Linked DNA regions of Yarrowia lipolytica. Each later gene encodes a partner of the first gene's protein in a complex. Links are inferred from orthologs where the notes say so. Each region holds a gene or a part of one and is shown in the gene's direction. Other genes may lie near its edges.

Region 1 (16,445 bases):
AAGTGACATACTTTTGCAAGGCCAGTGGGGGTCCCTATCTGTCGTCCGAACCAAATGGAGTCTACAGATTGAAATTAGCAATAAGCATGGAAAATTTTGATGGTCAGTCACCAGGCTTCTACTTGTAGTACAGTGCATACAATAGGTCAATATTGAGTGCTTATGACGGACCGTTGCTCGATTAGTTATTCCTTGTGGCCCAACCACCGTCCCACCAATATCGAAGCCATGTTGACTTGGCATAATATGGAGCAGCTCAGTCTCCAACACCATGCCTAGAGCAATGAGGGGATATACTTACTTTGTACAACAATTGCTAAGTCGTACCGGTACATAACCGACAAAAATATTCTACTCTCGTCTTCTTCGCTCAAACTTATCGTTACAGCTCACAGTAGTTCCACTCTACAGTAAATCTTCTACTTGCAACGTATTGAGCATGGAGCGTAATTGAGGAACATGTCAGTACAGAATATCGTTCGGTGTCTCTTGTACTAGTTGTTGTCTTTTGGTGTTACCAGCTTATTGTTGTTTCTTTTACTTACCTGGATACGACCCTCTTCCCCATCCCTTTCTCGGACTTTACTTGCAGCGTCTCTCTATGAATACCATCGCACGGCTTTTCTTCCGAATGTAACCCTACAAGCTCACCTCGATCACCCCTCTTGCACCGAAGACTTTATGCTCAATTCTCAAATCCTAGGACGTCGCTTTCCACGCCACTTACACACACCATCTAGATTTATTTCAGCCCTTCTTAGCTTCCCTGCATGACCGTTGTCTTGGCACGTTGCCCAGATGAGACAATAGAAGATGAGTGTGTATGGGGAAGTCTATAGAATTTTTTCAGTCAGTTGACTTACGCGGTTGTCTTGCAATGGGCCAAGCTGTGTCGATAAACCTCTTACTTACTGACTCTTGTCTCCTATGAAACTCACTCCTACGTAAAGCCATTTATGGGGCGGGACTGGTGTAAGTTGCGCCAGGATCATGCAGTCTGGACCAGGGAGTTGAGTGTGGTTTTTTTTAATGCTTCCACCTCTATAATAGTTCTGGCTGTCGTTCAAGTACGAGTTCCTTTGTTCCCAGTTGCAGTTCAGCAGCTGACAGATGTGTGGGCATTGGTCATTATTGATCATTGTAAGCTTGGTATGCTTGCATTCACGCATCTTTTTCTTTTTTTTTCTGCATCTTTCTTTAACGAATACCTCTTTTACTCAACTAAAATCTCGAGAAACTCAACTAGCTCCTTCTGGCCCTCTCTCACTCGCTTTCCTCCTCTTGCCTTGGCTTCAGGACTAGTGTAGAACAAAGGGATCTTCAGCTCCTCAAAACGCCTGTAGATGTAATCGTACATGTTTGTCAGCGTCTTGTGGGCATGTGCATGGAATGCCTTTTCGGCTTCCTCCCTCGTGGGTGGCTTCTTGTTTTTGGATCCCCCCCCTCCTCCTCCGATTCCTACTGATGCTAGGATGTTGTCGACTTTCTCAAAGTCACGTTTCTGGGCCTCTATTTTCGCATCGATCTCATTGTATTCCTTCTCGAGCTGGGCCAGTCGTCTCTGCTGCTCTATCATCAGCCGTTTCACCTCAGTCAGAAACTCAGGCCGTTTCGTGAGTTCATGGACTGTGTATTTGAGAGCATCGGCATAGGTGGTGATTTTCAGTGGGTCCTTCTGAGTAAAGAAAGGCGTACTGTTTGCAGGTTGCACACGCGACAACTCGGCCAGCAGGTTAGTCAGATCAGACATGTCAAGGAGTCATTGAAATGTGGTGATAGAGCAGTGTAACTTGGCCTACTGTAGCGCCTGCATCTCTGAAGCGTCCTCCCTTCAGAACCTTACCCAAGGAAATACACGCGCAGAGAAGACAAGTAAGCATCTCGTTGTCAGTGTGCAGTGTTACGAAACAACTTCCGGTACTGTAGTGTACATACTGTACTTGTACAAGTAGGATCTTATTTTGTATCCAATGCGAGCTCTCTAGTGTCTCCGTTTGGTGGCATATAAAAGTACGAGTACTTAAAATCTCTTCGGTGCGGTCTCATAGTACCCACATTGGCATATCTCCAGGGACTGCTGCAATTTACATTGAAGCAATTGAGTCAATGATATCACACAGCGAGCTACGATGATATCAATGCAATCATTCTTGAACCTATCCCTTATGCCCTCCTCATAATCTCTCTTAGTCAGGATCTCCCAACCCGGACACTGCCACATTCCCAAGCCCAAAGATGAAAAACGATAATCCGTGTAGAAAACAGCACACTCATCCAACGTGTAGGCCCCCTCATATTTAGTCAAAGAACAACACCAAAGACACCGCAGGCCCCTCTTTATTAATTCCACCAACATTCACTTTTCCATCTCCTCGCACCACCCAACTACGCTCTCTCCAAAGTGTGCATCACGTGATTCAAAATTACCTCCACGTCAAAACTCACACGTATCACCACATTCACTACAACACCACACAGCACACAATGGCGTCGGCAATTTTCTTCCTGGACCTCAAGGGAAAGCCTCTGTTATCGCGAAACTACCGCGGCGACATCCCTATGTCGGCTGTCGACAAGTTCCCCATGCTGCTTCTGCAGGCCGAGGAGGAGTCACCTGTCGTCCCTCCGTGTTTCACCCATGAGGGAGTCAACTACCTGTACATTACCCACAACAACCTGTACCTGCTGGCTCTGACGAAGCGCAACACTAATGCCGCCGAGATTCTGCTGTTTTTGCATCGGGTCGTCCAGGTGCTGACAGAATACTTCAAGGGTCTAGAGGAGGAGTCAATCAGAGACAACTTTGTGCTCATCTACGAGCTGTTGGACGAGCTGATGGACTACGGTTTCCCACAGACCACCGACACAAAGATCCTCAAGGAGTACATCACCCAAAAGTCCCACATTCTCGAAATCGCCATGGAAATCGCCCAGGTGCCAAAAGAGCAACCAAGACCCCCTATGGCTGTCACGAACGCCGTGTCTTGGCGTTCCGAAGGCATCAAGTACCGAAAGAACGAGGCATTTTTGGATGTTGTTGAGGCTGTCAACTTGCTGATGTCTCCTTCGGGCCAGGTTCTGCGTTCTGAGGTTCTCGGCTCTGTCCAGATGAAATGTTACCTCTCTGGTATGCCTGAACTGCGACTGGGACTTAACGACAAGGTGCTGTTTGACCATGTGAGCAACACCGGTGCTGGGGGAGGCGGATCGGGCGGATCTGCTCGTGCATCTCGAGGAAAGAGCATCGAGATGGAGGACGTCAAGTTCCACCAGTGTGTGCGACTTTCGCGATTTGAGAACGATAGAACTATTTCGTTCATCCCTCCGGATGGCCAGTTTGAGCTCATGAGCTACCGCCTCAACACCACCGTCAAGCCGCTGATTTGGGTTGACTGCAAGATCAACAAGTACTCCAACACGCGTATTGAGATTCTGGCTAAGGCCCGTGGCCAATTCAAGAAGCGATCGACGGCCAACAACGTCGAAATCCACATTCCTGTTCCCGAAGATGCCGATTCGCCTAAGCTGGCTGCTACCGCAGGTTCCATCAAGTGGCACCCTGAGAAGGCATGTGTCACGTGGAAGATCAAGCAGTTTGGAGGAGGACGAGAATTCTCCATGCGAGCGGAGTTGGGTCTTCCCTCCGTTCAGGACGCTGATGAGCAGGCTAAGAGCAAGAGACCCATCCAAGTCAAGTTCTCCATTCCTTACTTTACTACCTCGGGTATTCAGGTTCGATATCTGAAGATTGTCGAGCCGAAGCTGCAGTACACTTCTTACCCTTGGGTTCGATACATTACCACTAGTGGAGAGGACTACACCATACGATTGGCATAAACGTGACAAGTGCTGCATGAGGGAAGACAGCTCTCCGGTTGTTTTCAACTACGAAGTAAAGCAAGCAGGGATAACAAAGTATGGGCATGGGTGTCCGTACTACTTGTACCAGGAGGATTGATGGTGTGTAAAGTATGGGCATGCTTAGCTATTTTGCAAATTACATACTACTTGGTAGAGGATAGCAACGCATATCGGTGACGTTAGTATGTATTTTATGACTGTATGCTGATGGAGCTGCAAAGGTACACTACGATATTAGAGAATATATAGTAATCATTGTAATTATTGCAAAAGAGTAGATTTTATACACTGCTCAGAACCCTCTAATCACTGCAATTCAGTATTGAAACGGACGATAACTACAGTACAGTACTCACATCTTACATCGTTCAATACTCCATCATCCATTCGTTCGATACTATATACATCCCCTTTTTTGTAGACAATCCCCTTAGACAATTTCGAGAGGGTCCTTGTCGGTCTGAGAGATGATGACCTCAACCTCCCCGTCGTGCTGGTTCTTGAGCTCCTTGGTCAGCAGAGTCTGGAAAGTCTTGAGGTAGCCTCTCTCGGTGTTGGAGTGACCGCAGACAATGGCAGAGGTACCGTTTTCAATGAGACCTAGGGCCTCGTGGTGGCCAAGCTCGCCAGTGAAATGCACGTCTGCATCAACACCTCGCAGAACAGAGGCTCCAGAACCTGCACAGACGGCCACGGAAGAGATCTTAGCCTCAGGGTTCTCGTGCTTTTCGGTAAGGGCAACCTGGACATGTTTGAGTCCCAGACCGGTCTTAACTCGCTTCAGCAGCTCGGAGAAGGTAATGGGTTCCTTGAGACGCACCACTCGGCCCATGCCAGCACCCTCCTGTCCCTGGACGCCATCTACGGGCTGGCAGACCTCCCGGGAGGCCTCGTTCTCCTTTCCGAGAGAGACTACGTCGATCAGGAAGTCATTGACACCTCCAACGGCAGCGTCAACGGCAGTATGGGGGCAGTAGACAGAGATGCCAGCCCGGGCAAGTCGCAGCAGAGATCGCTGCTGGGAGTCCGACTGGGTGATAGACTTGAGGCCTCGGAAAATAAAAGGGTGATAGGCCATAACAACTCCGGAGTTGTTTCGGATAGCCTCGTCGACAACAGAGGTTGTCAGATCGATGGTGAGCAGCACATTGAGCTTCTCCTTCTCAGGTTCGGTGTCCAGAGGGCATTCCAGTAGTAGGCCGGTGTTGTCCCAAGAGGAGTCTGCGAGAGCTCGAGGGTAGAGCTTCTGAATAGAGGAAACAATGGTTTTGACGGCACGCTTGGAAGACATGGTTGTGATGAAAGATTAAGACAGACAGAGGAAGACCTGCTTGAGCAATCGCCGCCTATGCAGTGTGAGCGTAAGTGAATCAGGGTTCATGGGGAACCAGATTGATGAGTAAAAGGTGTGGAAGTGTACTACAAGTACTAGCTAATTAAAGAGGTGGATGGGCGTTTAAATAGATTGATTGTGTAGATAGAATGCGAAGGGAAAGTTATTGCCTTTGTTTTGTTTTGTTTTGCAACTTATTTGCTAATGCAAAACATATGGGAGTCACCTTCAACCATCGATAACAAACTAGTTCAACGTCACTTGACAATGACAGTTATGGAACAAAAGATGCTGAATAGACGTGCCTCGCATCAACTTCTTGCAATAAGTCAATGTGAAGCAGCTCTTTCAAACCACAATGAGAAGAACATCTTCCAAGCGTACCGCATTCTTGTACAGTACGTATTTTGTAGCTCTCGCTGAGCGTACAAGTATGTGTACTGTACACACTGGTGATGTGATGAATTCTTCGTGCTCTGATACCAAAGTGACTCAGACATCAAGATTCTGACTCAAATTGGAACGACCAGCCATAAGGGCTACAGTAACAGTACCACGATTATATAAAAAGATGTTGGACTTCTCTGACACCCCTTGTTCAAAGCAAAAGCTCCAAGAAGTTCTTAAAAAGCCCGGGTTCCTCTAGACACCGAGAAATCACTTGAAAGTTATTTTCAACGGTTGGCCACGCGAACTGGCTGCAGCTTCCTTCGTCTCTACCAGAACGGTAGCTCCTCCGGCCTCCACATCCAACGTTTCCCACCTATCCAGTCAGTACTGTCTATAGTGGTGTCATGGTTAAAGAAGAAGTAAGATGGAACATGAAAGCCCTTTTATAGTGTTGGAAAATCTTCCAAACTTTAAAAAGCCCTAACTCCTCCCAGCTTGCATATTGGAATCAGCGTGCAGGTAACTGTGTTCAGACTGGAGTGTACACTGGTCGACAGTGGCGAAACAACGTATTCATACCCCATTGACACTGATTCACAGGCTACACAGACAGACGAAATAAAGCAGCAAGTTTCACACAGAGACCAATTTCACATCTTCATACACTAAAAATTACATCACTAATTGCATTCTCAAGCATCATCAACATCACATAACAGCAACCCCAACAGCACCCACCACTTAACAACATCCACAATGCTCAGATCCAAGCGAGACGCTTCTAAACGTCGGTTTGACGACGTCAATCTCGACAGTGACTCCTTCTCCGACTCCAACGATTCATATTCCGACGATGAGACATACGAGAAGGTGCCTCAGACCCGTCTTAAGATCAAAATGAAGGAACAGGACCCTGGAGATGCCACATCAGGTCTCGATACCAAGGTGCATTCGACCTATTCGGAGATCCCTGACGACTACGTGCCCGACAGTGTATCCAACATCTTCGGTAAGCACGACTTCTCATACCTCAAGCTGAAGCCAGACCATGCCGCTCGACCCTTGTGGATTAACCCCGAGGACGGTAGAATCATTCTGGAATCCTTTTCGCCACTTGCAGAGCAGGCTCAGGACTTCCTGGTGACCATTGCAGAACCCATCTCTCGTCCCTCGCACATTCATGAATACAGAATCACCACTTACTCTCTGTACGCGGCTGTCTCAGTGGGTCTGGAGACTTCTGACATCATTTCCGTTCTCAACCGACTGTCCAAGGTCCCAGTCCCCAAGAGTATCATCAACTTCATCCACTCATGTACAAAGTCTTATGGTAAGGTCAAGTTGGTTCTGAAACATAATCGATACTTTGTGGAATCTTCACAGGCAGACGTCTTGCAGATGCTGCTCAAGGACCCTGTTATCGGTGCTCTGCGTCTGGAGGCTTCGGAACAGTCCACCACAGGCTCCGGTCTTGTTACTGAGTCGGCACCTAAGATGGGCGATCTTAAGATTCCCGGTACAGAGAAGCCCAAGGAAGAGGAAGGTAAGGATGGAGAAAGGGACGGTGAGAAGAAGGCTGACGAAGACGCTGAGGATATCTTCTCTCATGTTGTTGGTATTGAGAACGATGATGATGACGATCTGGACGCTGTTCACTCGTTCGAGATTGCACCTGACTCAGTCGAAACTGTGAAGAAGCGATGTCAGGAGATTGACTACCCTGTGTTGGAAGAGTATGATTTCCGAAATGATCATGGTAACCCCGATCTGGATATCGACCTCAAGTCGTCCACCCAGATTCGACCCTATCAGGAGAAGTCGCTGTCTAAAATGTTTGGTAATGGACGAGCCCGTTCTGGTATCATTGTCTTGCCATGTGGAGCCGGCAAGACTCTGGTCGGTATCACAGCTGCTTGCACCATCCGAAAGTCCGTTATTGTGCTTTGCACCTCCTCCGTATCCGTCATGCAGTGGAGACAGCAGTTTCTGCAGTGGTGTACTATTCAGCCTGAGAACGTGGCTGTGTTCACTTCCGAGAGCAAGGAGAAGTTCTCTGGTGATGCTGGTCTCGTTGTGTCTACTTACTCAATGGTAGCCAACACCCGGAACCGATCCCATGACTCGCAGAAGATGATGGACTTCTTGCAGTCTCGAGAGTGGGGTTTTATCATTCTGGATGAGGTTCACGTCGTGCCCGCCGCCATGTTCCGAAAGGTCGTTACTAACATTGCCGCACACGCAAAGCTGGGTCTTACTGCAACCCTGGTGCGAGAAGATGACAAGATTGACGACCTGAATTTCTTGATTGGCCCCAAGCTGTACGAGGCCAACTGGATGGACTTGGCCCAGAAGGGTCATATCGCCAACGTTCAGTGTGCCGAAGTGTGGTGCCCCATGACCTCAGAGTTTTACCAGGAGTACCTCAAGGAGAACGCTCGAAAGCGAATGCTACTCTACATTATGAATCCCTCCAAATTTCAGGCTGCCCAGTTTCTCATCAACTACCACGAAAAACGAGGTGACAAGATCATTGTCTTCTCTGATAACGTCCATGCTCTCAAGGCTTATGCACTCAAGCTTGGAAAGTTCTTCATTTTCGGTGGCACTCCCCAACAGGAGCGAATGAAAATTCTGAAGAACTTCCAGTACAATGACCAGGTCAACACCATTTTCTTGTCCAAGGTCGGAGATACTTCCATCGATTTGCCCGAGGCTACATGTCTGATTCAAATCTCGTCGCATTACGGCTCTCGACGTCAGGAGGCTCAGCGTCTGGGTCGTATTCTGCGAGCCAAGCGACGTAACGATGAGGGTTTCAATGCCTTCTTTTACTCGCTAGTGTCCAAGGATACCCAGGAGATGTATTACTCAACTAAAAGACAGGCCTTCCTGGTCGATCAGGGTTATGCGTTCAAGGTGATTACACATCTGCATGGAATGGAGAATCTGCCCGATCTGGCTTATGCTTCTGCTCGTGAGCGACGAGAGCTGCTGCAGGAGGTGTTGTTACAGAACGAGGACGCTGCCACTCTCGAAGAAGGAGACAACGCAGATTCGTTTGTGGGCCGAGGTTCTTCCAACAAGCGAGGCAGTGCCAAGCGAACCACCGGTTCTCTGGCATCGCTGGCTGGTGGAGAAGATATGGCATACATTGAGACCAACAAGAACCGAAACAAGGATCTGCGAAAGCCTTCCAAGCAGAGTGCATTTGTCAAGAAGCTGTACTCCGGAAAGAGATAGGGGTTCTACTTGTAGCATATATAAATAATTGATAGACATAACATTGAGAAGGTTGATATACTGTGGCGAATATTACAAAACTGACGAGATACAAGTTCAGGTAACTTAAAGATTCATTAAGAGGGTTGACAATAAATAGATGGAAGCTTCTCTCTGAGCGAGATCGAAACGTCGGTTGCACTTGAGTCGATGAGGGGCGAACTCTTCATATGTGATGATAATCTTTGCACGTTTGGCAGTAGACGTACTTGGTCTATTAGAGGTGTAAAGCTAGGGTCTGCGCCCGGTAACGCTGCATGATATATAAATATGAAGTTTCGTGGCCTCATGGTTACTTGGTTACCATGAGCCGTAGTCGCCCTCTGGTATTCTTTGTCTTTTGCTGTTGTTTCCTTATCCATGTGTGTCCCATCGTGTTCGTATGTACCTGCATGCTATGTACAATATTTTGCGATACGATCAAGACTGAGTTTGTTCACAAGCTGTATAGATGTCAAAATACTCTTCTAGTAACTTCAAGTAATTTCGTACAGTATGGTACGGCACTTACGCTGGACGCATCTTCGCCATTACCTGTGCAATTACTTTGTATCGTACACAACCCAGCCGGGATCTTGTTTGGTATGTAACAGTTAGTATCTAATGTATTGTGAATGTATGTTTATGGAGTATTCACGTCGTGGTATTCATACAGGGAAGGGGCTGAAGGGTCAACTACAACCACATTTTCTCCCTCGGAAGAAGTCCGTTCGTCGGCAAAATCGTAGTCGGACGAAATATCGGATGCCGAAGAGCCCCATGTGCTTTCCCCATGACTGTTGGCTGAATAACTGAGCGATGGCTGCTCTGAAACAATGGAGGCAGGACGTGCCCCTGCACGCTGCTGTCCATGGCCATGCCCATACGTCTGACGTGGGTATCCTCGTCTATTTTGTGTTACCGAACCACTGGTGTCTGATGACTGGCTCGAGCTGCTCCAATATTGCTGAGTGTCCGATTGTGGCGGTTCCGGCATGTGAAACGAGTTGTAGGAGTTGCTGGGGTCGCTGGAGCCCACCGTCTTGTCCGAGCCTATGCTTGTGCCTCTCTTGTTGCGTCTTCTGAATGACATTTCAATCTCCTCGGTGTAGTCGTCCTTGTGTGGCTCCTCTGATCCGACAGCCGAATGCAAATGCACTTGTGATTGAGAGGTATGTGTCTGGGTCTGTGTCGCTTGATCTGAATCTGAGTGCCCTCCATCCCGATCATATGAGGCTGGCACGGCAGAAGCTCGCTTGCGAAGCCGTCTCTCCATGAGCTTGTGCTCCACGTAATCGCAGATCACATCGCGCTCCTTGTACGCAAGTGCGCCCGCCGAACATACTGCGGCGGCCACAATAATTAGCGGCACTATCATGGGTGGAATGGTGGTCGTTGGAGCCTGGGTAGGAGGTCTGCCTGTCAAAGATGATGTGGATACGCCAGTGCTTTATCTGTCCGATTAAGCTTCGAAACCTGGGAGGGTGAACACACCTTGAAGTAGTTCGAGAGGGAGGCTCATAAGAGAGATTTGGGGGTGTTGACATACTGTAGGGACTCTATTTTGTCACCGAATTGGTAGCTTGCCACAAAAAGTGCTCTTTTGCCTTCCAATCGGTCCCCAATACCACTCAAACAGAATTCTATAACCACTCTAACTACACTTCCCCCCTCTTCCACTGTCGTACGCCCATGTCCCCATCTGTCAAGCTTCTGTACGACTGAAAGTTAATGCCGAATGCTAATCTTTGGTGGCTTTACTATCATGGTACATACAGTAGAACCCCAACTGAATTGTTTTACTCGAAGATGCTGTAAGTATTCTGCATAGACAGCGCTTCTCACTATTGAAATGTTCCAGAAAAAACAATGAATTATTACAATCTTGCTTTCTGTCATGTGATCTAGCTTAATAACACATCATCGCTATCCTCGTCTTGCTCGTTCCTCTCATCTGTCTATTTATAGCTGGCCTGCAGACGCATGTATTTGCCACCTTCGTGGATCATGTTAATCATGTCCTTTAGCCGCATGAAAAAGGGCGCAATAGGCAATCTACAGCTTACCATGGCGTGGAATGTACGAACAGAGTGGGGTCTGTGACGTGTTAGTTCCTTTCTATGGGTTGTCAAGGTTCCATCCAGTGACTGAAGGTACGGTGCGGTACGTGCCATACTCGGGAGACATTCGACTTTGCATATATAGTAGACTGATGTTAGTGACGATTATGAAAGGGTGTGTAAACGGTATTAATACAAGTACAAATGGAAGTGGGATGCATAGGACCAAATCATCACTGTTTGTGTATCGGCGGTTTCAAAAACTTCACAGTCATGTATTACAGTACTTCGCTACTCTGACTGGCTGAGTCACCTCTCAGGGTAATAATACAGTTGGCTTGAACGAAGTATAGAACTACAAAGTATCGTACAGTATGTACATGCTGTGTACATACTGTACATTCGATTCACTCCAAGATTGTTCGGAACAACACTTGTCTCGTATGTCCGTAGCAACTACAATGCATTGGTTACTATTCCGAATCAACGTCAATATCGTACACGTGTATTCTCTATATCTAACAGCATACACTTGGTCGCCAACCGACGATGTATAATTATAAAATGCTGGTGTGGCCGGCTGACATACAATAATAAGTTAGTAGCAGTCAGACGTCCTTTTAGTCGGTGAACTTGTAACTGCCGGAAGACATGGTGATGGATCCTCCCTTGTAAGCACCCTTCTTCATCTTGTTCTTGCCCTTGGTGAAATCCTTTCCTCGGACCTTCATCAGCTTGTCGTTGGCCATTTCACCCCAAGTTCCGGCGGCGCCCTTGTATGTGTTGTCCATGAGAGACTGGTCCTCGAAGGAGATCTTAGTTCGATCGATTCGAGAGAAGAACTTTCGTCCCCCCTCCTCCTCGAAAGTTGCCTCCACGTAGCTGTTGTCCACAGGGGAGTCAGTCTTGGGCTTTTTGATAACCAGAGACTCCACCTCAATCTCCTCCGCCTTTCGCTTCTTGGCAGGAGGCTGCTCCTCCTCATCAGAAGAATCAGAGTCAGAGTCCGACGAAGAAGACGAGTCAGAGTCAGAGGAGTCAGAGTCCGACGAGGAAGAAGAGTCGGAGTCGGAGGAAGAATCCGAATCGGAAGACGAAGAGTCGGAGTCGGAGGAAGAATCCGAATCGGAAGACGAAGAGTCCGAATCAGAAGACGAGTCCGAATCAGAAGAATCAGAAGAATCAGAAGAATCAGAAGAATCAGAAGAATCAGAAGAATCAGAGGAATCAGAGGAATCAGAGGAAGCATCCTTCATCTCAACATCCTTCGCATCTTCCTTCTTGGTCTCTTTCTTGGTCTCTTTCTTGGTCTCTTTCTTGGTCTCTTTCTTGGTCTCCTTCTCGTCATCAGAGTCGGAGTCAGAATCGGAGTCAGAATCAGAATCAGAATCGGAGTCAGAGTCAGAATCAGAACTGGATGAGTCAGAGTCAGAATCGGAGTCAGAGCTGGAGGAGTCAGAGTCAGAATCGGAGTCAGAGCTGGAGGAGTCAGAGCTGGAGGAGTCAGAGTCAGAGTCAGAATCGGAGTCAGAATCGGAAGACTCAGAAGAACCGGAATCAGAAGACTCCTCCTTCTTGGCCTCCTTCTTGGCCTCCTTCTTGGCCTCCTTCTTGTCCTCCTTGACCTCCTTGACCTCCTTAGTCTCTTTTTTCTCGTTCTCGTCCGCGGAATCGGAGTCAGAATCAGAATCAGAATCAGAATCGGAGTCAGAAGACGAGGAGGAAGAGTCGCTATCCGAGTCAGAATCGGAGTCGGAAGATGAAGACTCGTTCTCTTCCTTGGTCTCCTCCTTCTTCACAGGCTTCTCATCCTCAGAGTCAGAGTCAGAGTCAGAGTCACTGGAATCAGAGTCGCTCGAATCAGAAGAGTCGGAGGAATCTGAACCGCTGGAGTCAGAGTCGCTAGAGTCAGAATCAGAGTCCGAAGAATCATCACTGGAAGTAGACTCATCACTGGAGGTGGATGCTCCGCTCTCAGAGGCGGGCTCAGTAGCCTTGACGGCCTTCTTGGAGTCCTTTTTGTCGGCCTTCTTGATCTTGGAAATGTCCTTTGTGGCGGATTTGCTACCCATGGTGTGTATCGTTGAGCTGTGTAAATGTATGAAAAGAACTGTTATCTGCACCTTCAAATTTTTTTCCAGTCTCGCATATTTTTTTTCAGCCTCAAAACTCAAAACTCAGATAAGCTCACGTGCGCACCTCAACGGCAATCAACTTCACTTAGACTCGTACCCATATGTACTTACAGCTATTATGGGGTCGCTGAACTCAGCTTGCCTTTCCTTCCTTCACAACACATTCCACACACCAGCTCTAGTCGAACCACAGAAACTGAGAGACATCCTCAGATTGCTCGCACAGAACTATAGATAGTATCACTGATATTACTCACAACTGATACCATCAAGATTTGATACCGAAAACTTCATTACACAAAGCGCCACACTTCTGACACAGATACACCCACATCACATACAACAGACCACAACAGCACCACTGTCACGGATACTCAACAGATAGATACCTTTACAGATACCAACGCCGACAGAGCCACCTTTACAGATTACCCTCTTAAGTCGATACCAATCACCTCATACTGCTACTGCTTCAAACATGGAAATTGCTGTGGCTGGTACTCTAATTGCATGCGGTGTCGTGTCGCTAGCCATGGGTGGTGTCAGTGTGCACAAGGCATACAAGTCATCCAGAGAACACAACGCAGCGTACATCATCCCGCTGTCAGTGCGCGCAAACACATATCATATCCACACTGACCCGGCTGCACCGATGCAGAAGGTGATCATCTCGGACGAATGGGATGTCCCCATCTACACACTTGAACGAGAATCTCGTCACGCAAAGCACTGGAGCCTCTTGTGTTTCGATGACCGAGTCCAGGTGGCGTCTCTTAGCACTGCATCGTTGGGGTCGAGGTTCTGCATCCGTGATGAAACTCGTGACCTCCAGAAGGTGGTGTGCAAGAAACGTCAGTATGGTCGCTATTACGAATTTTCTCTCCGTAAGACCAACATTCCCCGTCCATCTAACTCGGACCCTCTGCCGTCATACGATGAATGTGGAGTTCTGAACCCTACGCTGTTTGCCCAGGTTGGTGGTGGTGAGGTTGATGACTCTGATTTCGATCTTGATACCCCACAGGTCTGGCAGTCACGCAACCCATTCAACACCCCATCTGCTGACCCGATGCGTGCTGCGGCCTACTCTGCCCCAAGCCCTGCGATAGCAGTTGGAGAGATCACGGCTCCTTACACAAACTCAGATCCCATGTACCAATGGAACTCGACTACCAAATTTCTTGAGAAATGCACCAACCTCGATGCTGGCATCCATGAAACTCGCGAGCGGATTGCTTTTGTAAACATGAAGAACCCCAAGCGATTGCGGTTCGACATTACCATTGACGAGACCAAGATCCACCGGGACATAGCCATCATGACTGCTCTGTCGTGCGTCATGGGCGCATGGAAGTCTGAGCGGCCGCCTAAGCCTGTCAAGAGCAGCTCCGAATTCCCCCCTCTGCAACAGCGACTGAATAACGTCCAAGAATATGTGTCTTCCAAGGTTCGTGGCCAGCCGTCAATCGCCGAGCAGTTGAGTGAGGAGTCCTCTACAGTCCCTGCTGCCGCGTGAGACTTGCATTTGCATCTCCCAGTTATCCCACAACAGGGAATCTATATAGACACTGTGCATGTTATTTAATGTTTTATTGTGGACCAAAGACCACGTGGGTGTGTACGTACGCGTGCCTCTTGTAACTACGTAACCGCTAATAAATATAAATCACCATATAATACATATAAATACATTTACACACGAGCAAATGCCGCGTGTAATATCACCTTAGTTGTGGTCTCCTCGAATCTCCTCCTCCACGTTAGCACGAACAAACATCTCGAAGTCCTGGAGTTTGGTCTGCACCATAGCCTTGAAAGCCACCATGACTTCAGCCTGCTTGAGAATATCCTGTGACAGGCGTTCTCGGGCCTGCTGGACTTCCACAGAGAGCTTGTTACGTTCATGCTCTGCGTCCTGGAGTCGCACCTGGAGACCCTTGAGTTGTGATTGAGCAAGAGCAGTTTCACTCTGAGCCTGGACAAACTGGTTTTCCAGTCGCTCCGTGTTTTGGGAGTTTTCGTTCTCGTTCATGGAAGCGGAGTCTTCGAGGGCGTTTCTGGTTTCTCGAAGGCGTCGAGATTTGGCTTCCAGCTCACCAATGTGTCGTTTCTGTGAAACGAGCTTCTCCTGGTTGGTCTCAATCTCCTCTTGCAGTCTCAGAGCCTCTTCCTGGAGGGCCTTGACCTTGGAAGTGACCATGTTGCAGATTCTCACAATTTCAGGTCGAATCTGGTTACGAGGATCAACTCCACCCAGGATCACAGAAGGGTGGCGTCCCAGGTTCTCCTCGGAGAGAGGTTCACGCAGATCAATCAAATAGACTGATTCTGGGATCTCGGGCAAGTCATTGTCTGATGCCACCCAGGCATTGTAGGACAGAACAGACGATGTATACTCCTTGATGACACGATCAAGAGCATCAAAGACTGCCAGGGCAGTAGACTCCTTGTTTGACACAACCTGACGTCCCTCATCGATTATCTCATCAAGTGAGTTCAACGCCTTCTGTTGACGCTCCATATCCAAATGCAGCTTGTCCAGCTCGGCGGGAGATAGACCCTGGTCTTGGATTGTTTGTTGCAGTTTCAGCTTTTGACGGCTGAGAGACTCCACCTCGCTCGTCACATTGTCTTCTTCTGCTGTCGCCTGGGACATCTGAGAAGCGTATCGGGCATTGTGTTCTTTTCGAGCATCCACAAATGCACCCAACTTGACGATATCGTCGGCCAGGTTCTTCCCTAGTAGTTTCGCCTCCTCAATCTTGCCCCATTTGGCTTCCAGACGTGACAGTTCCTCATCCAATTCATCGTCTTCGCCCTCTGGTAGCGGGTTTTGAGCTCTCTGTTCGGCAAGAATCTCCTGGAACTCGGCGTTCTCTTCAGCGAGACAGAGCTCTGCATCAGGACGGGCAAATCTGTCATCGCCTTGTAAATAGGCAAAGTACGACTCACGTGCGTGTCTGTTGAAGATTTCGTCTACCAACGACGGACCATCATCTCCTGAGTAGTCATGATTGTGATACTTCTCTATCGTCGTGTTGAGTTCCACCATCCAATGCAGCATGCCTAAAAAGTAGGCCCATGATTGGCCTCCCACGGCAACAATTTGTGATTTCGTGATGCTATCGAGCCACGGGTATTTGGCTGCCCGTAGCACCGCGTGAACCTCGTTTTCGATGCTCTTGTGGAACGGGTATCCAGGATCGATGCGTCGGAAGATCCACTCGAACATAGTTTTGAAATCCTTTTGAGTGGGGTTGCTGAGCGTCCGCTGGTTCAGTGGGTGGCGGGTTTCCTGCTCAAAGTGGTTCGTGACCAGATACTCATAGATCTGCTGTGAGATTTGCTGTTGGTAGTGTCGGTCGCGCACTGGACGTGGATCACGCGTGTGCATGGGCGCCATGGGAG
Region 2 (16,020 bases), on another chromosome or scaffold:
CTTTGTGCATGACTACTCGGTGCGACCCACGACTTACGTGTACCGAATGGAGGACAATGCGGAGTCGTTCAGCAAGTACCCTCTGATGACATCCAAGAAGCTGTCTAAGAGCTCCTCACGGCCCAGAGGAGTCCGAATGACCGCCAAGGACTTCATGGACGACTCTCTTTACAACCCCTACTACGGCTACTTCTCCCGGAACGTGGAGATTTTCACCACCGACAAACCGTTCGATTACACGAATATCAATGATGTGGACGACTTCCTCAACACGTGGACCGGAGAGTACTCCAAATACGCAGCTAACAGCCCGACTTTGACGGGTAAAACAAAAGATACGAGCCATTCGGGTACCTTTCCCGCTCAGGACAAGGACTTCACATCGAGGGGCGCCTCGAAACAGCTGTGGCATACCCCCACCGAGCTGTTCAAGCCTTACTACGGAGAGGCTCTGGCACGATACTTGCTGGTCAACTACAAGCTCTCGCTATACCCCTACAAGGATCTGATCATCTACGAAATGGGAGGAGGTAACGGTACGCTCATGACCAACATTCTCGACTATATTCGAGATACTCAGCCCGAGGTATACGAGCGAACCCGATACAAGGTCATTGAGATTTCCGACCAGCTGGCTCACAAGCAGCAGAGTGCTCTGCACACCAAGGCGTCCGAGACCGGTCATCGGTCCAAGGTCGAGATCATCAACAAGTCGATTTTTGATTGGAAGGAGCCCGTCAACGACCCCTGCTTCTTTGTCGCCCTCGAAGTTTTTGACAACTTTGCCCACGATATCGTCCGATACGATAACCGAACTTTGCAGCCCTACCAGGGTCATGTTCTGGTTGATGCCAATGGAGACTTCCACGAGGTGTATACTCAGAAGCTCGACGAATGGACCAAGCTTTTCCTTCAGATCCGAACGGAGGCTCTTGAGGACTACTCTCCCGATAGCAGACTCGGTTTCCATCCTCTGTCTACCCCTTGGCTTTACAAAGAGGCCCGAAACCTCATGTGGCCCTTCCACTCTGAACTGTCTGACCCCGAGTTCATCCCCACTCGATACCTCGAGTTCCTGTATATTCTCAAGAAGTACTTCCCCCAGGCTAGATTGCTGTCTTCTGATTTCACACATCTGCCCGAGACCACCACTTCACGGTTCTCCGGATACAACTCTCCTGTGGTTCAGACAGTGCTTGACAACCAGATGGTCACCACTAACACACATATGGTTCTGCAGGGTTACTTCGATATTCTCTTCCCCACCGACTTTGAGCTTGCTGCGCAGCTTCTTCGTCACGTGTGTGGCAGAGTGCCTGAGATTTCTACCCATCAGGAGTTCTTGGAACAATGGGCCGACCTTGATGCAACCACTACAAAGACCGGTGAGAACCCCATGACCAGTTTCTACCGAAACGCTGCCTTCCTCACCAATTAAGAGGGGCTACAGTAATCACAAGGTTATGATTACTGCTAATAGTCACGAGGGAGTTCGGAGGGGGGAAAAAAACATCTGATCTGTAGCTGTAGATGGGCTATATCTGGTAATATGGTGAATGCGTGACAGTCTGAAAATGCCAGCTCTCCACATTATCAATGCATATATGTATATAGAAATTTAATTTGTCAGTTAAGCACTAGAAGAATTGACAATAAAACCACAGTTGCAGGGTTAAATTACTCCACTTTTTTAGTGCGGATCGTGACGTCTCACCGCTGTTTTAACATCACCACTATTTATAGTTGGTCAGTGTGCCCCTTTTATGCACGTGACCGCACCAACTTACCCGGAAGTATAAGCTCCCGCAACGTACAGCTGGCAACACCTCACCCAAGTTCTCAGCTACACACAACCTATTCATTAAAAATGGTGAGTAAACAACGTGGAGTCAACCCGGATTTCGACCTGCGGGCAATGCAATTGGGCGAATTGGGCACTTGAGAGATCTGGTTGGAGTCTACAGAATGATCCTTGTGTCATAACGACGACATCGACGACTTGGAATTTAATGGCGCTTGGGGTTTGGGGTTCGGGACTCATGGCATCATGGGGGTGTGATAAGACGAGCATCGACAATTTGAACGATCCGAGAAAGACAGTCATGACACCACCAAACTACATGGCAACTGCAAGAATGATGACCCCCTTCTGGTGATGTCACTTTGTCTGCGTTTACAAGATTGATGTTTCAACCATGTTGCTCGAAAAGCACAATGGTGTGTCGTATGTCTCATCGGCTGTCACGGTGATACCCAAGCGTATGACCATCCAGCCACGTCTTTGCCGCCTCGCGCCTATTGTACCTTCTTTCGTCTGATTCTTGTTGGTTCGGCATATGACCCTCTCGATATGCGGCTTCTGCCACAAAGGCCCCAGTATTGCCCTTTAACTTTTGAAGCACGAGAACAATGGGGTGATGGAAAACATGCTCGCCGTTGTAGCATGCGATGAAGCAGGTCGATATGGAAGGGGAATATTCAGAGCAAGTGGAGATTTATATATGTGATGGAACACAACGTTGTCATACATAGCTAACTCAGTCCCGATCCGGTGTTGCCGTTAACGACTCTGCCCTCCAGGCTTTCAACGAGCTCAAGCTCGGCAAGAAGGTCACCTTCATCATTTACAAGATCAACGATGCCAAGACCGAGATTGTTGTCGAGGAGGAGGGAACCACCGACTCTTACGACACCTTCCTCGGCAAGCTGCCCGAGAACGACTGCCGATACGCCGTCTACGACTTTGAGTACGAGATCTCCAGCGGTGAGGGTAAGCGATCCAAGCTTGTCTTCTTCACCTGGTCTCCCGATACCGCTCCTGTCCGAAGCAAGATGATCTACGCCTCTTCCAAGGACTCTCTCCGACGGGCTCTTACCGGTATCTCCACCGAGATCCAGGGTACTGACTTCTCCGAGGTTGCTTACGAATCTGTTCTCGAGCGAGTTTCTCGAGGAGCCGGTTCTCACTAAGTATGAAATGTATATTGTGACATGTTTTATAATTACTCCGCCACGGTGTAGCGCTAGGAGGGGTGCGTTAAAGACGCTCCCTGTCAGTCTCAGTTTTTAGGCTGCTTCAGTGGGGTGGAACGCCGATAGCAATAACGTGTGCAACGTGCGTGAGACTAAAAAGTGGGTGATGTGATATCGACTTTTACAATCAGTGTGGCAAAGACGAAGAGAGGATATAAAAAAAGGAAATGTAGCCCTACGAAGCAAATAACTCTTTGTATAGTGTGGCTGGCTTTCTGAGTACGGCGGCAACCATCATTGACAGTCTATACGTGCTGGGCATTGGCGTGTCTTGGTATGGTTCTGCGGTTAGCCAGGGTTACTATAAGTTTTTGATAGTGCGAAAATCGCAGAGTGACTAGACACTGCCATGATGTGTAAGGGTTGATAATTCGCGTCTTTGGTCCTCGGTGACTAATTAAGATCTACCCCCGGGTGCCAAGTAAGAGACATGGGAAGGCTAAAAAACACAAATTGCTAGACTAATTAATTCTTGGCGAAATAAAGAGAGTAGCGACAAAGAGGCAGGTGTACGGGCGACAGACAAAGTAAGGTACCGAAATATAGTCCATGCTGGGGTTGCCTAATGGGACGAGGAGCCGAGGGCCGGCGTCTGGGACGCCCACAAACATCTCTAGAATGACCTTGAGCTGTGGATACGAGCCTCGTGGATAAGCTTCTTTATACTTGGGTTCATGACAGTGAGGCTGAGGGTCATGTGAGTTAATGTGCAAATCTTGGCGGATTATGCAAGGTGGTGGGTGTTGATATAAAAGCATGCAACCGCTTTTTTACGATAAAAACGAGCCGATCGCCTCTAGACTGGTACTCTAAAAGTCCCCAGGTGTATTTTTCCTGCATCTGCCATTCTTCTGGAACCTCTTTCGCCCAAAGGTTTCCTGTTGTGGACACAGCCGCTCGTTTCGTGCACATCCGTTCGCCCTCTGAATTGTTTTACTGACACATCGAAGTGCCGGTTCAAGTACAGACAGCTTACAGTACACAGACAAAGAACCTCCATCCATTTGTTTCTGTTTGCAGAAAGGGCCTTCTTAAACCTCCACACGCACAACATCTACATATCACCCGACAGCATATAGGTCTCTGCATCTACCTGGCCTAAAATGTCTACCACCGCGTCGATCACAATCTTGACAGGGACACCCACAAATACACCGGCTACGCCTACGACCTTCAACACTTTAGTCACCTCACTAACGGCCACTCTAGGACCCACATCAACTCAAAGTGGGCCTCCTTCTGGTGTCCCCACAAACCCAAACTCTCAGCAACAACGCAACACTTCTACTACACAGAACTATCTGTTCTTCATTGCCCTCGCTCTTGGAATTGTCTTTGTCAATCTCTGGATCATTCTGGGCATCCGGTTCCTATATCGACGACGCCAGCGACAACGAGCTGTGTCGGATCCTGAGAACCAATCTCCCGATCCCATGATTCCCATGATTGCCCGCGGTATGGTGATGACAGGAGGCCATCCCAGAGCCAGGCAGCGAAGGAAGCGACAAAAGAAGGTGGTGTCGCTGGCATTCATGGACGACAACTTCCCTATGACACGCTACGCCGACTGGAAAAACGGTACATACACCAACGAAAAGCGCGTGGACGAAAAGGTACTGGAGAAAGAAGTCGCAGAAAGAAACATGACAGAAAAGGAAATGGAGGCTTTCAGCGATGACGCTATTGAAGACTCCGCAAACCACACTACCATCGTCGTGGAGGAGGATATCGGTAATGTGGGATTTTTGTCGTTATCTAACTCTGCAGGTGCATCTGCGTTATCGCTCACGGAAACAAACTCTAGAACCGACAGAGTGGAGCCACCTTCAGATCCCGATACGTGTGCGATTTGCATCGAGCAGCTAGAGGACTGTGATGAGATCCGTGTGCTTAAGTGCAACCACGTGTTTCACTTCTCTTGCATCACTCCCTGGATGACTAATCGAAATGCGTCTTGTCCGCTGTGCAAGACACAATATTACATTCCCCCACCCCCTCCCATGCCTGACTGGCTGGCTAGCAATGGGCAGGTCCCCACACCAACTGTAGATACTAGGGTCACTAGTACAGCTACAGCCACCACCACGACGACCTCAGGGTCAGATGATAGCCCCTCATTGTCCTCGCAGACGCAGATACCTCTTGCAGAACTGCCGCCTGCAGCAACCTCTCGACTGTCGCGTTTCAAGAGGGTCATGAGGCTGACGTGAGCCAGTGTGCCCAAGATAATTCAGGCTGGATGATGGGTTATTTTTTCTTGGTTAGGCAAGCTACTCGCTAATTTTTCCATGGGTCTCATTGTCTATTATTTATTATCGAGACCTTCCCTCTCGCACAGGTTTTAACTGCAAGATCGCACATGGTACTTGTAGTGTAAATAGGATTAACTTATATATAGCTACTCCAGAACGAGAACAAGTACTTGTACGATAGAGAAATATAGGGCAAGTATATAGCTACTCGTACTTGTATGAGTGCTTATAGGGGTCTGCGCGAGAGTGTCTGAATAATGCTTCGCACAATCTGCCCTTATTCGATGTTGTGGCTGGCTCATCTCCCCACATGACCGGCTCATCCGCATTATACAGCATCGCAATTCAAACGGTGTGAGAATAAGGATATACGCAAGTTAAACAAAGCACACAGGGCGGACTGGTCAAGAACATAAAAAAACATCAATATTTATTGGCTTCATATATACAACACTTTGGTTTAAATAAATACAGGTGATACGTACTAAAGGTTCTTGGAATTGGCTGATTAAAGCGTGTCTCCAACATACTCCTCGCCAGGCACAATCTTCTTGTGATCCGCGGGGTTGGCGGCTGACTCGTACAGCGTCACGACGGGGGCTCGGTTAAGTTCCTTGAATTCGCCACGTAGACCAATGTAAAGAATTCGGGTCACGTCCTCGCCGTAGTTGTCCTCCACAAACAGCGTCAGACTCGTGATGTTGGACCACTGGGCCCGCGAAAGTGCATATTCAGCAATACCCTCTTCATCCAGAGACGACGACGTAGGGGCGACCTCAATGGAGTGATCCAGAGTGCCTCCGACCCCCTCGGGATGCTCGATCACATGGTTGGCAGTGAGATCGGAGGCGGTGGAAAAGTCGAGGTCATCTCTGTTCTTGAATAGCTTCATGTGTCGAGGGGCAGAGTCGTCGTTGGTGGTTCGAATGAGCAGCGAGTGGATCTTGCACAGACCCGTGAATGGCACGTGGATAAGAAGCTGCTCGTCCACGTCACTCTCCAGGTACTTGGAGGTGTCCAGACGGGACTCCCAGTCCTTGAAGACAGAGGCTCCGGCTCCCTCTTCAGACTCGTTCAGGGTTCGGATGCCAGCGTGCGAAATCCGATTATACAGAGTCTGAGCCGAAGAGGTATGGGGCTGGGGAACGTGACTGTGGTCGTGTCCATGGTCGTGGCCGTGGTCACCGTGATCGTGTTCAACGTGTTCAGAATGGCAGTCCATATGGTTCTGTTTGAAAGCTGGAGTTTAGGCTGTTTATGATATGCACTTGGTCCGCACTAACTTTGGATATTTTGGTATAAGATTCGGTATCGTTATCTGAGGTTATGAGCACCGGTGAGATGAAGGGTGTGCCTGAGGCCGATACTGCGTAGTGTAGAATGTTGGTAGTGGTAGATGCTTCATATTGGGTTGCGTTTTTTTTCCCGGATATATTTAGTGGCGATATTCTACTGCGAGGGTCTGAAACAGGCTCCATGACTAGCTCAACATTAATTGCTAGGCATCCGAAGTTCTAGACCCTTCTTGTGGGCCGTGCGCAAGAGGAGGAATTTTGAGTTATTCAACCTGGAAGAGATTACTTGATGTTTTAGGCTACTGTTTAGTTAACGACTAGGAAAAGCGTCAGTAATGCCAATCGGGAAATGAGGTCGTATAGCGATACCAGGAAGGTGGTAAGGATCTTGGTCTACGCCAGCTACCTCATTGCCTTGCTTCTGTAACACCCTCTTACTACAAGAGCAACGCTATTTCTCTGCTGGCTTAATGAGCTGTCCGTCCCAAACTCCCCCACAACGCAAACTCAAGTGTGTACGTGCATGAAATTTCACACTCATCACATTATCACACCACCATGGTCCACAAAGCCGAGTACCTGGAAGAACACGAGACCCAGATCTCCTCCATTCTGAGCGGCGGTTACGCCCACCCTCTGTCTCGACAGTGGCAGCAGAAGAACCGCCTCACCAAGGATATGTTCATCTATCCTCTTTTCGTCACTGATGATCCCGAGGAGGAGACTCCTATCAGCTCTCTTCCCGGCCAGAAGCGATGGGGCGTCAACAAGCTGGTGCCCTACGTCGACTCTCTGGTCAAGAAGGGCCTCCGATCTGTCATTCTTTTCGGTGTTCCTATGAAGGAGGGTGTTAAGGATCTTGAGGGAACTGCTGCGGATGATCCCGAGGGACCCGTTATTCAGGCCACCAAGGCTCTCAAGAAGGCCTTCCCTGACCTGTTTGTCATGTGTGACGTTTGCCTGTGCGAGTACACCTCGCACGGTCACTGCGGCGTTCTTCGAGAGGACGGAACTGTTATCCGAGACACAACTGTGCGACGTTTGGCTGCCGTGGCTGTCAATTACGCCAAGGCAGGAGCTGACTGTGTGGCACCCTCGGACATGATTGACGGTCGAATCCACGACATCAAAAAGGGCTTGCTCAAGGCCGGTCTTGCCCACAACGTCATGGTTATGAGCTACACTAAGTTCTCCGGAAACCTGTACGGACCTTTCCGAGAGGCTGCCTGCTCTGCTCCCAGCCACGGAGACCGAAAGCGATACCAGCTCCCCGCTGGCGGTCGAGGTCTCGCTCGACGAGCTCTTGCTCGAGACCTGGCCGAAGGTGCCGATGCCGTCATTGTCAAGCCTTCCACCTTTTACCTGGATATCGTGGTGGACGCTGCTGAGATCTGCAAGGACGTGCCTATTGCTACCTACCAGGTTTCCGGAGAGTACGCCATGATCCACGCAGCTGCCGAGAAGGGCGTTGTTGATCTGGAGGTGATGGCCTTCGAGGCGGCCTACGGTAACCTGCGAGCCGGAGCCAACCTCCTTATCTCTTACTTTACCCCCGACTTTCTCGAGTGGTTGGACCACCACCACTAAGGTGACACTACTAAGACGACAAGGCCCGATGACGAAGTAATGAGACCATGCCCCTAGAGTATCTAGATAATTATTGATGAAGAAACGAGAAGATATATTACAGCAGCAACGCCCTCCACTCGTGGATCCAACTACAATACAGAAAAAAGCACAAGTACAGTCCTTAATAGTGTATGAAGTATCTACAGTACCGGTACTTGTACATACTGTAGCGTCTGACATTGAAGGAGGTACTGCTGCACTCGGACAATCCCACTACGAACAACAAATCGAATAGGTAACATTCTATACATAATTTAGTCCGACTATCCTAACCATCGGACCCTACTGTCAAGATTAGTTGACACCCTCTTCCTTCCTTTCTCATGCTAGTGTACATTATAAATAACTAATCCTCGAGCTTCTTGACGTCCTTGACAATCTCGTCAAAGTTCTCCTTGTACTCGACCTTGGTGTCGGCCTTTTTACTCTTGCCTCCGCCGGGAACAATCATGACGGTGGAAGTGGGTCGCTTAGTAGCACCGGCAGCTCCGAGATCCTCCTTGGAGGGGATGAAGAGGTAAGGAACACCGTTGTCCTCACAGAGAACGGGAATGTGAGAGACGACATCCATGGGAGAAATGTCTCCAGCGATGATGACAAGACCCTTCTCGCCCTTTCGGAGAGCCTTGACAACCTCCTTGACACCTCGCTTAACGTGCTTGGCCTTGGAAGCCTTCTTCACGGTCTTGAGCACCTTCTTGTTGAGCTTCTTGGGGGCAAGAGGCTTGGCGAAGGGCAGCAGAGCCTCCATTCGAGCGTCGTAGTTGTCGACCTCGTCAATCTCAACGGTGATATCTCCCTTGTCTTTGCCCATTGTTGTAGTGTGATGTGTGAGACTGCAGGATGAAAAAAAAATTTAGCTACAGCGCTTGAAAAAACTTATTAGGGTTCAGAGGTTATGAGCATCCAGGAATACATGCACACAAGATCAGAATTAAAAAGTAAACAGATAGACAGCTTACGGACATGATTACTATTAATGATACCATTATTGGGTTATGAGCCGTTTACACACTCCTGATAAATTTTTCAGATCCCCAGCTCCTCCCAAAACAATCTACCCTAACCACGACGCCATGCATTACACAACCTTGATATATCAGTAGCACCATTCGTTGCGACAGATCAACCACCAGAGATGAAGTTCTACATCGATGATCTGCCGGTGTTGTGGCCATACCCTCGGATCTATCCCGAGCAGTATGCCTACATGTGCGACATCAAGAAAACCCTGGACGTGGGAGGCAACTGCATCTTGGAAATGCCTTCAGGAACAGGCAAGACTGTCTCCCTGTTGTCTCTGACAGTGGCGTACCAGCAACACTATCCCGAGCATCGAAAGATCATTTATTGTTCCCGAACAATGTCGGAGATCGAGAAGGCTCTGGCTGAGTTGAAGAACCTCATGAAGTTTCGAACTGAGACTCTAGGCTTTGAGGAGGACTTTAGAGGGCTGGGTCTGACCTCACGAAAGAACCTGTGTCTGAATCCCAATGTGCGATACGAAAAGAAAGGTTACATTGTCGACGAGAAGTGCCGAGCCATGACATCTGGAATTGCCAAGCAGAAGCTGGCTGCAGGAGAAGACGTTACTCTATGTGAATACCACGAGAACATGAACGACATTGAGCCTCACAACTACATTCCACCTGGTGTTTTCACCTTTGAGGACATTTTGGCGTATGGCGAGGAGCACAAGACATGTCCTTATTTTACTGTGCGTCGAATGATGGCCTTCTGCAACGTCATCATCTACTCTTATCATTATCTACTCGATCCCAAGATCGCCGACCGAGTTTCCAAGGAGCTGAGCAAAGACTGCATTGTCATTTTTGATGAGGCCCATAATATCGACAACGTCTGCATTGAGGCTCTGTCTGTCGACATTACTGAAGACTCCTTGAAACGAGCCACTCGGGGAGCAAACCATCTGGCCAAGAAGGTCAGTGAGGCCCGATCCAGCGACTCTGAGAAATTGAAAAATGAATACAACAAACTGGTGGATGGATTGCGAGATCTGGAATCCGGAGAACAAGAAGATACGTTTCTCGCTAACCCTGTGCTCCCTGAAGATCTTATTTCGGAAGCTGTGCCTGGAAACATTCGAAAGGCAGAACATTTCGTGGCCTTCTTGAAACGATTCATTGAATATCTCAAGAGTCGAATGAAGGTGCTTCATGTCATTTCCGAAACCCCTGCATCGTTCTTGAAACATCTTCGAGATTTGACATACATTGAACGAAAGCCTCTTCGATTCTGCGCTGAGCGTCTATCGTATCTGGTCAGAACCCTCGAGTTGACTCACGTCGATGATTACACTGCTCTCAAGGAGATTGCTGTGTTCGCCACCTTGGTGTCTACCTACGACACCGGCTTCCAGCTCATTCTGGAGCCCTTTGAGACCGATCAGGCCACCGTTCCTAACCCCATTTTGCATCTTACATGTTTGGACGCCTCCATTGCTATCAAGCCTGTCTTTGATCGGTTCTCAAGCATCATCATCACATCCGGTACCATCTCCCCTCTAGATATGTACCCGAAAATGTTGAACTTCGAGACTGTGGTTCAGGAGTCGTACACCATGACACTGGCACGGCGAGCCTTCTGTCCTCTCATTGTGACCAAGGGTTCAGACCAGGTAGCCATCAGTTCTCGATTCGAGATCCGAAACGATCCTTCAGTTGTCCGAAACTACGGTAACCTTCTGATTGAATTTTCTAAGATCACACCTGATGGCCTTGTCGTCTTCTTCCCTTCATATCTTTACATGGAGTCTATCATTTCCATGTGGCAGACTATGGGTATTCTGGACGAAGTGTGGAAGTACAAACTCATTCTGGTCGAGACTCCTGATGCTCAGGAAACCTCTCTTGCCTTAGAAACTTACCGAACTGCCTGCTCCAACGGTCGAGGCGCTGTCATGCTCTGTGTCGCTCGAGGAAAGGTTTCGGAAGGTATCGATTTCGACCACCAGTTTGGAAGAACTGTGCTTATGATTGGTGTTCCTTTTCAGTACACCGAGTCGCGTATCTTGAAGGCTCGTCTCGAGTTTTTGCGAGATAACTACCACATTCGAGAGAACGACTTCTTGTCTTTCGATGCCATGCGCCATGCTGCCCAGTGTCTGGGACGAGTCTTGCGAGGTAAAGATGACTACGGTGTCATGGTGTTGGCTGACAGACGTTTTGCCAAGAAGCGAAACCAGCTGCCCAAATGGATCAACCAGGCCATTTTGGATGCTGACACAAATCTGTCCACAGATATGGCTCTAGCTGCAGCCAAGAAGTTTTTGCGAACTATGGCCCAGCCTATGAACAAGGAAGACCAGGAGGGTGTTTCAGTGTGGTCATTGGAGCAGCTTCAGGAGTACCAGGGATCCAAAAAGGATGGAGGTTACCGACTTGCCCCCGAGGATGCCATGGATATCGATGAAAAGGATCTTGAAGAGGGTCTCAGAGAAGTCGAACAAGCCAAAAAAGAAATTGCTGCTCGATAACAACGGTACGTACAGATATCCGTAGCAGCATATAATATAACAAGCATTATTTAATTAAAACACAAGAGCAGTCCACAGGCACAGTCAATGCAAGGTTATACAATACAATAATAATATACATAATTTATGATCATCCTCTTACTCCTCCATTTCAACCTCTTCCGCTTCCTCACCCTCAGCCACAGTCACTGTGAACTTCTTCTCGGCATCCGCATCAACATACGAGTCGCAAATGCACCAAACGTGACCACTGACCTCTCCATGCTCGGGGAACGAGACATCGATGTTGAAAGTCTGGGACTCGAGAGGCAAGGTGACTCGCTTGATACCAAAAATCTGCTTTGTCTTGGTATTTCCAACCACGATCCACCAGTTCTCCGTCTTGGGCTGGGGGAACAGGGGAGCAACCACCTCCAGATTAGCACGCTCATCCTCCTCGTACACATCTCTCTCCACAGTGACCTCGATGGTTCCGACATCGTTAGTAGCGTAAGAGTCAGCAAGCTCATAGCTGAGCTGAATACTTGGGTAGGCGTCCACAAAGTCAATGACACGCTTGAGTTGCTTCGCAGTAAAGTTGAGAATGCCCTTGAGCTTGTCCTCGTCCAGCTCGGAAATGTCTCCGACTGCCTCAACCCCCGCCCCCCTGAGATCGTCGATGATTTCGGGAGTGAAAAAAGGCACCTGTCGCAGAGGCGAATCAGACTCAAGAGTAGCTTGAACAACCATTTGGGACAGGTCCATTGCGTACATGCATGATTGATGGCCCTCAGAAGCCAGAAGATCAACAGAGGCAGCCAGCAGGGTAGGCAGCAGCTGGACAACCTCGGCCTGATCAGCAGTCAACTCCGAAGGGAGATTCAGCCGAGCAATATGACATTGAGCCAGCACAAAGGCCTTGAAAGCAGGAGTGAGAAGAACAGCAGAGTCCAGCTCGGGAAGCTTCCAGGGGATGTGGCCATAAAGACGTCTCAACAGAATGTCCTCGTGGTTTCGGATGGGAAGAGAGTCAAACTCAGCTGCAGTGGTGACAGCCTGCAAGATAGATCTATACTTACTCTTGGGAGAGAGGGCAGATGTGAGAGTAGCCATAGTATCGAAAGACACGTTGTAGTAGGATGCAATGGATGCAGCATTGAGAGGCTCCAATCCACCCTCGTCGTCCATCTCGACCATCTTTGCCTCAACAAGCTGTTCTACAGTAGTCTCAGCGAGCTCAGAAAGATAGACGTTGAGAGCATCATCTGATCGGTCAGGGACACCGTAGAAACCAGGATTGGCATGCAGGCGTCGGTACAGGTACGTGTAGGTTAACCAGGCCACAGTGTCATCCATGGACTCTATCACTTTCTCACAGATCTCTGCCAAAAGAGCATCATGTAGGGATGCTCCCAAGTTGGATTCCACAGGAAGAGAATCGTTGAGGAACCGCAGGTAGTAGTCCTTGGCAGCAGCGGGAGTCAGCACCAGGGCGTCGTTGGAAGCCTGTCCAATCATCTGCAAGACCGTAGAGATGGGGTAGTTGACGTATCGGTGCTCAGATCCCTCGTAGGTCTGGGTACCAAGAATGACACTCAGTTGAGAACGAGGCGAGGTCCAACATTCCTCACGGGTAGCAATGATTGTGGAGATGGACTGCTCAGCATACAGTGCCAACACAATCTTACGGTCTCTGGAAGACATGCTGGGGTAGAGGTGGCCAATACCGCTCTGAATGGCCTCCTTGAGAGTGTTGTCAGTCACCTGTGCCATAGCAAGCTCCAAATTGGAGTCCTCAGGAACAGGAGGCACCAGAACTTGCTCGTCCGCAATCGTGGAAAGACCAATGGTCACATCCACAAGAGTTCGACGAGAGTCCACAAAGATCACAGTCTGGGAGTGCTTGGGGGGAGCAAGCTCAAGAATGGCATTGTATGTAGGTCGAAGGAAAGCCTGCATGAGAGAAGGGTGATGAGGGATGGACAACGACTGAATGTGGATATTGGTAGGAGAAGCAGTCCAAGGTTTGAAGTTGTAGGGAGTGGCGTCAAGCCATCCAGCCATATCTACTCCATCGGCAACAGGAACACCCAGTCCGACAATTCTAAGAGGTCGTCCAGCACCACTCTCCTGCAACTGTACATCGATATATCTCATTCGAGAAACGACAGTCTCGTAGGTACCATCGCCGCCAACCAGATGCACGTCGTCGGCAATGAACAGGCTTACAGCTCTGACAGCAGCTCGCTTCTGCCACCGTCGAGACAAAGAATCCCACTGGTTAGGAGTGGCCAAAACCACATCGGAGGTGGCCAGCTTCCGTAAGTCAGCAGCAAGCTCACCAGACAGCTTTGAGAAGGTCTTTCCTCCATGAATCTCGTTCATTCGCTGACTCCAATCATCGTAGCGAGCATCAACTTGGGCTTGTGTGGGAGCCATGTACACAGTCTTGGCATCAGCATCTTCATTCCACAGTCTCAGTAGAGCCAGCTCGGCGAGAACAGTCTTACCAGACCCAGGAGGAGCTCCAACAAAGACGGAGCCGTCGCCCTCCACAAGAGGTCTGAACAGCTGCGATTGGATCTTGTTGAAGAAAGAAAAGTCGTAGAGCCCGGCGCAATCGGCTCGCTTTAGCTCAACAACAGGGACAGGCTGCAGATCAATAAGCTGAGTAGGGGCTGGGAACTTTCCTGGGAAGACAATGTTTCGCAAAGGCACAGCCAGACGAGCGTCGGCGTGCAACCATCTCTCGGAAGACAGAGTCACAAATAGATGAGGAGGTCGGGGGTCAGCAACAGTGACAGACACCTCAATTAAGTGAGTCTCAGTGGCGTAATCTCGCCGTAGGGTCCACGAGTCCGAGTAAAGAATCTTCTCACCGTCTCCGTCTTCCACAGTCAGAGCAAAGGGCTCGGAACCATGGTGAATAGAAACGTCCCACTCAAAACTGGGCTCCACCTCAATCTCCAGTCGCACGAGAGAGGCAGTAACGGGCAGTGCGCGAGCAGACAGCTTGAGCTGGGGGAACTTCTGAAGCATTCGGAACACAGGAGTGCCATATCGAGGAGTTCGGATAGCTTCTCCAACCTGTTCTGCATTCTCCAGCGATAAGTACCGCTTCCAAGGCATAGCAGAAGCCTCAATTTTCTTGGCAACCTCAGCAGGGCAGTCAGGAAACTGACGGAGAGGACAAGAGGATAGCCACAGACGCTGCTCAACCATCTTGCACACGTCAAGGGTAATTCGGGCTAGTCGAGCCCATTTCTTTCTCAGACAGAACTCATAGATGGCTCGGAACAGACGCTGGGCACTTTGGGTCACGTATATCATATCGGATACCAGTGCAAAGCCCTCGAGACTCAGTCGGGAAATGAAAGCCTGAAGAAGAACGTTGATCTTGGCAGTGGAGTCCTCAACGGACTCTCGAACAGGGATGGGTGCCGATTCCAGCAACTTTCCCAACTCTAGCTTCTCTTCTTGGCGAACTCCCACATATTTGAACTCCTCAGAGGCGGAGAACACCTGGAACAGCTCCACAATGGAGAAATGGGGCTTGAGAGAAATTCGGTATGTTCGCATAGACGAGTGAGTGATGTAGTAATGTGCAGCCACTCTACCGAGATCGTTGGCACGCACACGGCCAGTCTTGGTGTCGTAGATGACGAGACCAGACTTGGCCAGGTTGCTGAGAGCCGAATGAACGAGGTCGGCACGTCGGTTAGTAAGAGCGGCATCATCGGGATTAGATCCAACAAGGTATATACCAGGAGAAACAAGCATTCGGACGTAGAGGTAAGTATAACCTAGCCACTGAATACCATCACCCACCGAAGAAACTGTGCCACCGACAACCTCTGCGTTAAGAGAATCCTCCAGCCGTGACATAAGCTGAGACTCAATAGGGAGTTGTTGGTTCATCAGCGACAGATAGTAGTTGAGTTCCCCGTGGGTAGTAATGATGATACCTTCACCAGAGTCGTCGTATCGAGGTCGACCAGCACGACCAAGCATCTGGAGAACGTCCTGAGGAGACAGCTCGGTCCATTGACCCTTGGCAGGATTGTAAATTTGAGTACCCTTGATGATGACGGTATGTGCGGGAAGATTGACACCCCAAGCCAGAGTGGCAGTAGACACCAAAACACGGACATGTCCCTCAGCAAAGAGCTCCTCCGCAGCCTTACGGTCAACCTGTGCAAGACCAGCATGATGGGTAGCGAGACCAGTTCCGATGATCTCTTTCTGTGTGGCATCGAGTTCAGGATCTTGGGCACGCTCTGCAAGAGTTCGACGACTGCCATCAGAGGCACAAAAAAGAGGCAGCAGGCCCTCGTCC

Evidence for each region.
Region 2: YALI1_B15521g (region 1) and YALI1_F27663g share a complex: the UniProt entries of both Saccharomyces cerevisiae proteins name them as parts of the 7-subunit TFIIH core complex. The link is inferred for Yarrowia lipolytica from reciprocal best matches to the Saccharomyces cerevisiae genes SSL2 and RAD3.

The regions. Positions count from the first base shown.
Region 1 is NC_090771.1:1,545,783-1,562,227, forward strand, and holds YALI1_B15521g (uncharacterized protein), read left to right. Parts: upstream 1-6,340; coding exon 6,341-8,824; downstream 8,825-16,445. Other genes in the region: YALI1_B15460g (uncharacterized protein), read right to left, coding at 1-273; YALI1_B15475g (uncharacterized protein), read right to left, coding at 1,214-1,750; YALI1_B15482g (uncharacterized protein), read left to right, coding at 2,485-3,837; YALI1_B15509g (uncharacterized protein), read right to left, coding at 4,292-5,152; YALI1_B15560g (uncharacterized protein), read right to left, coding at 9,486-10,220; YALI1_B15587g (uncharacterized protein), read right to left, coding at 11,523-12,974; YALI1_B15592g (uncharacterized protein), read left to right, coding at 13,516-14,553; YALI1_B15624g (uncharacterized protein), read right to left, coding at 14,764-16,445. UniProt on the Saccharomyces cerevisiae protein: ATP-dependent DNA translocase. Component of the general transcription and DNA repair factor IIH (TFIIH) core complex. When complexed to CDK-activating kinase (CAK), involved in RNA transcription by RNA polymerase II.
Region 2 is NC_090775.1:2,759,719-2,775,738, reverse strand, and holds YALI1_F27663g (uncharacterized protein), read left to right. Parts: upstream 1-9,347; coding exon 9,348-11,705; downstream 11,706-16,020. Other genes in the region: YALI1_F27758g (uncharacterized protein), read left to right, coding at 1-1,438; YALI1_F27731g (uncharacterized protein), read left to right, coding at 2,185-2,217, 2,542-2,970; YALI1_F27716g (uncharacterized protein), read left to right, coding at 4,137-5,243; YALI1_F27701g (uncharacterized protein), read right to left, coding at 5,346-5,454, 5,500-5,624; YALI1_F27692g (uncharacterized protein), read right to left, coding at 5,794-6,507; YALI1_F27686g (uncharacterized protein), read left to right, coding at 7,139-8,167; YALI1_F27667g (uncharacterized protein), read right to left, coding at 8,556-9,023; YALI1_F27574g (uncharacterized protein), read right to left, coding at 11,844-16,020. UniProt on the Saccharomyces cerevisiae protein: ATP-dependent 5'-3' DNA helicase.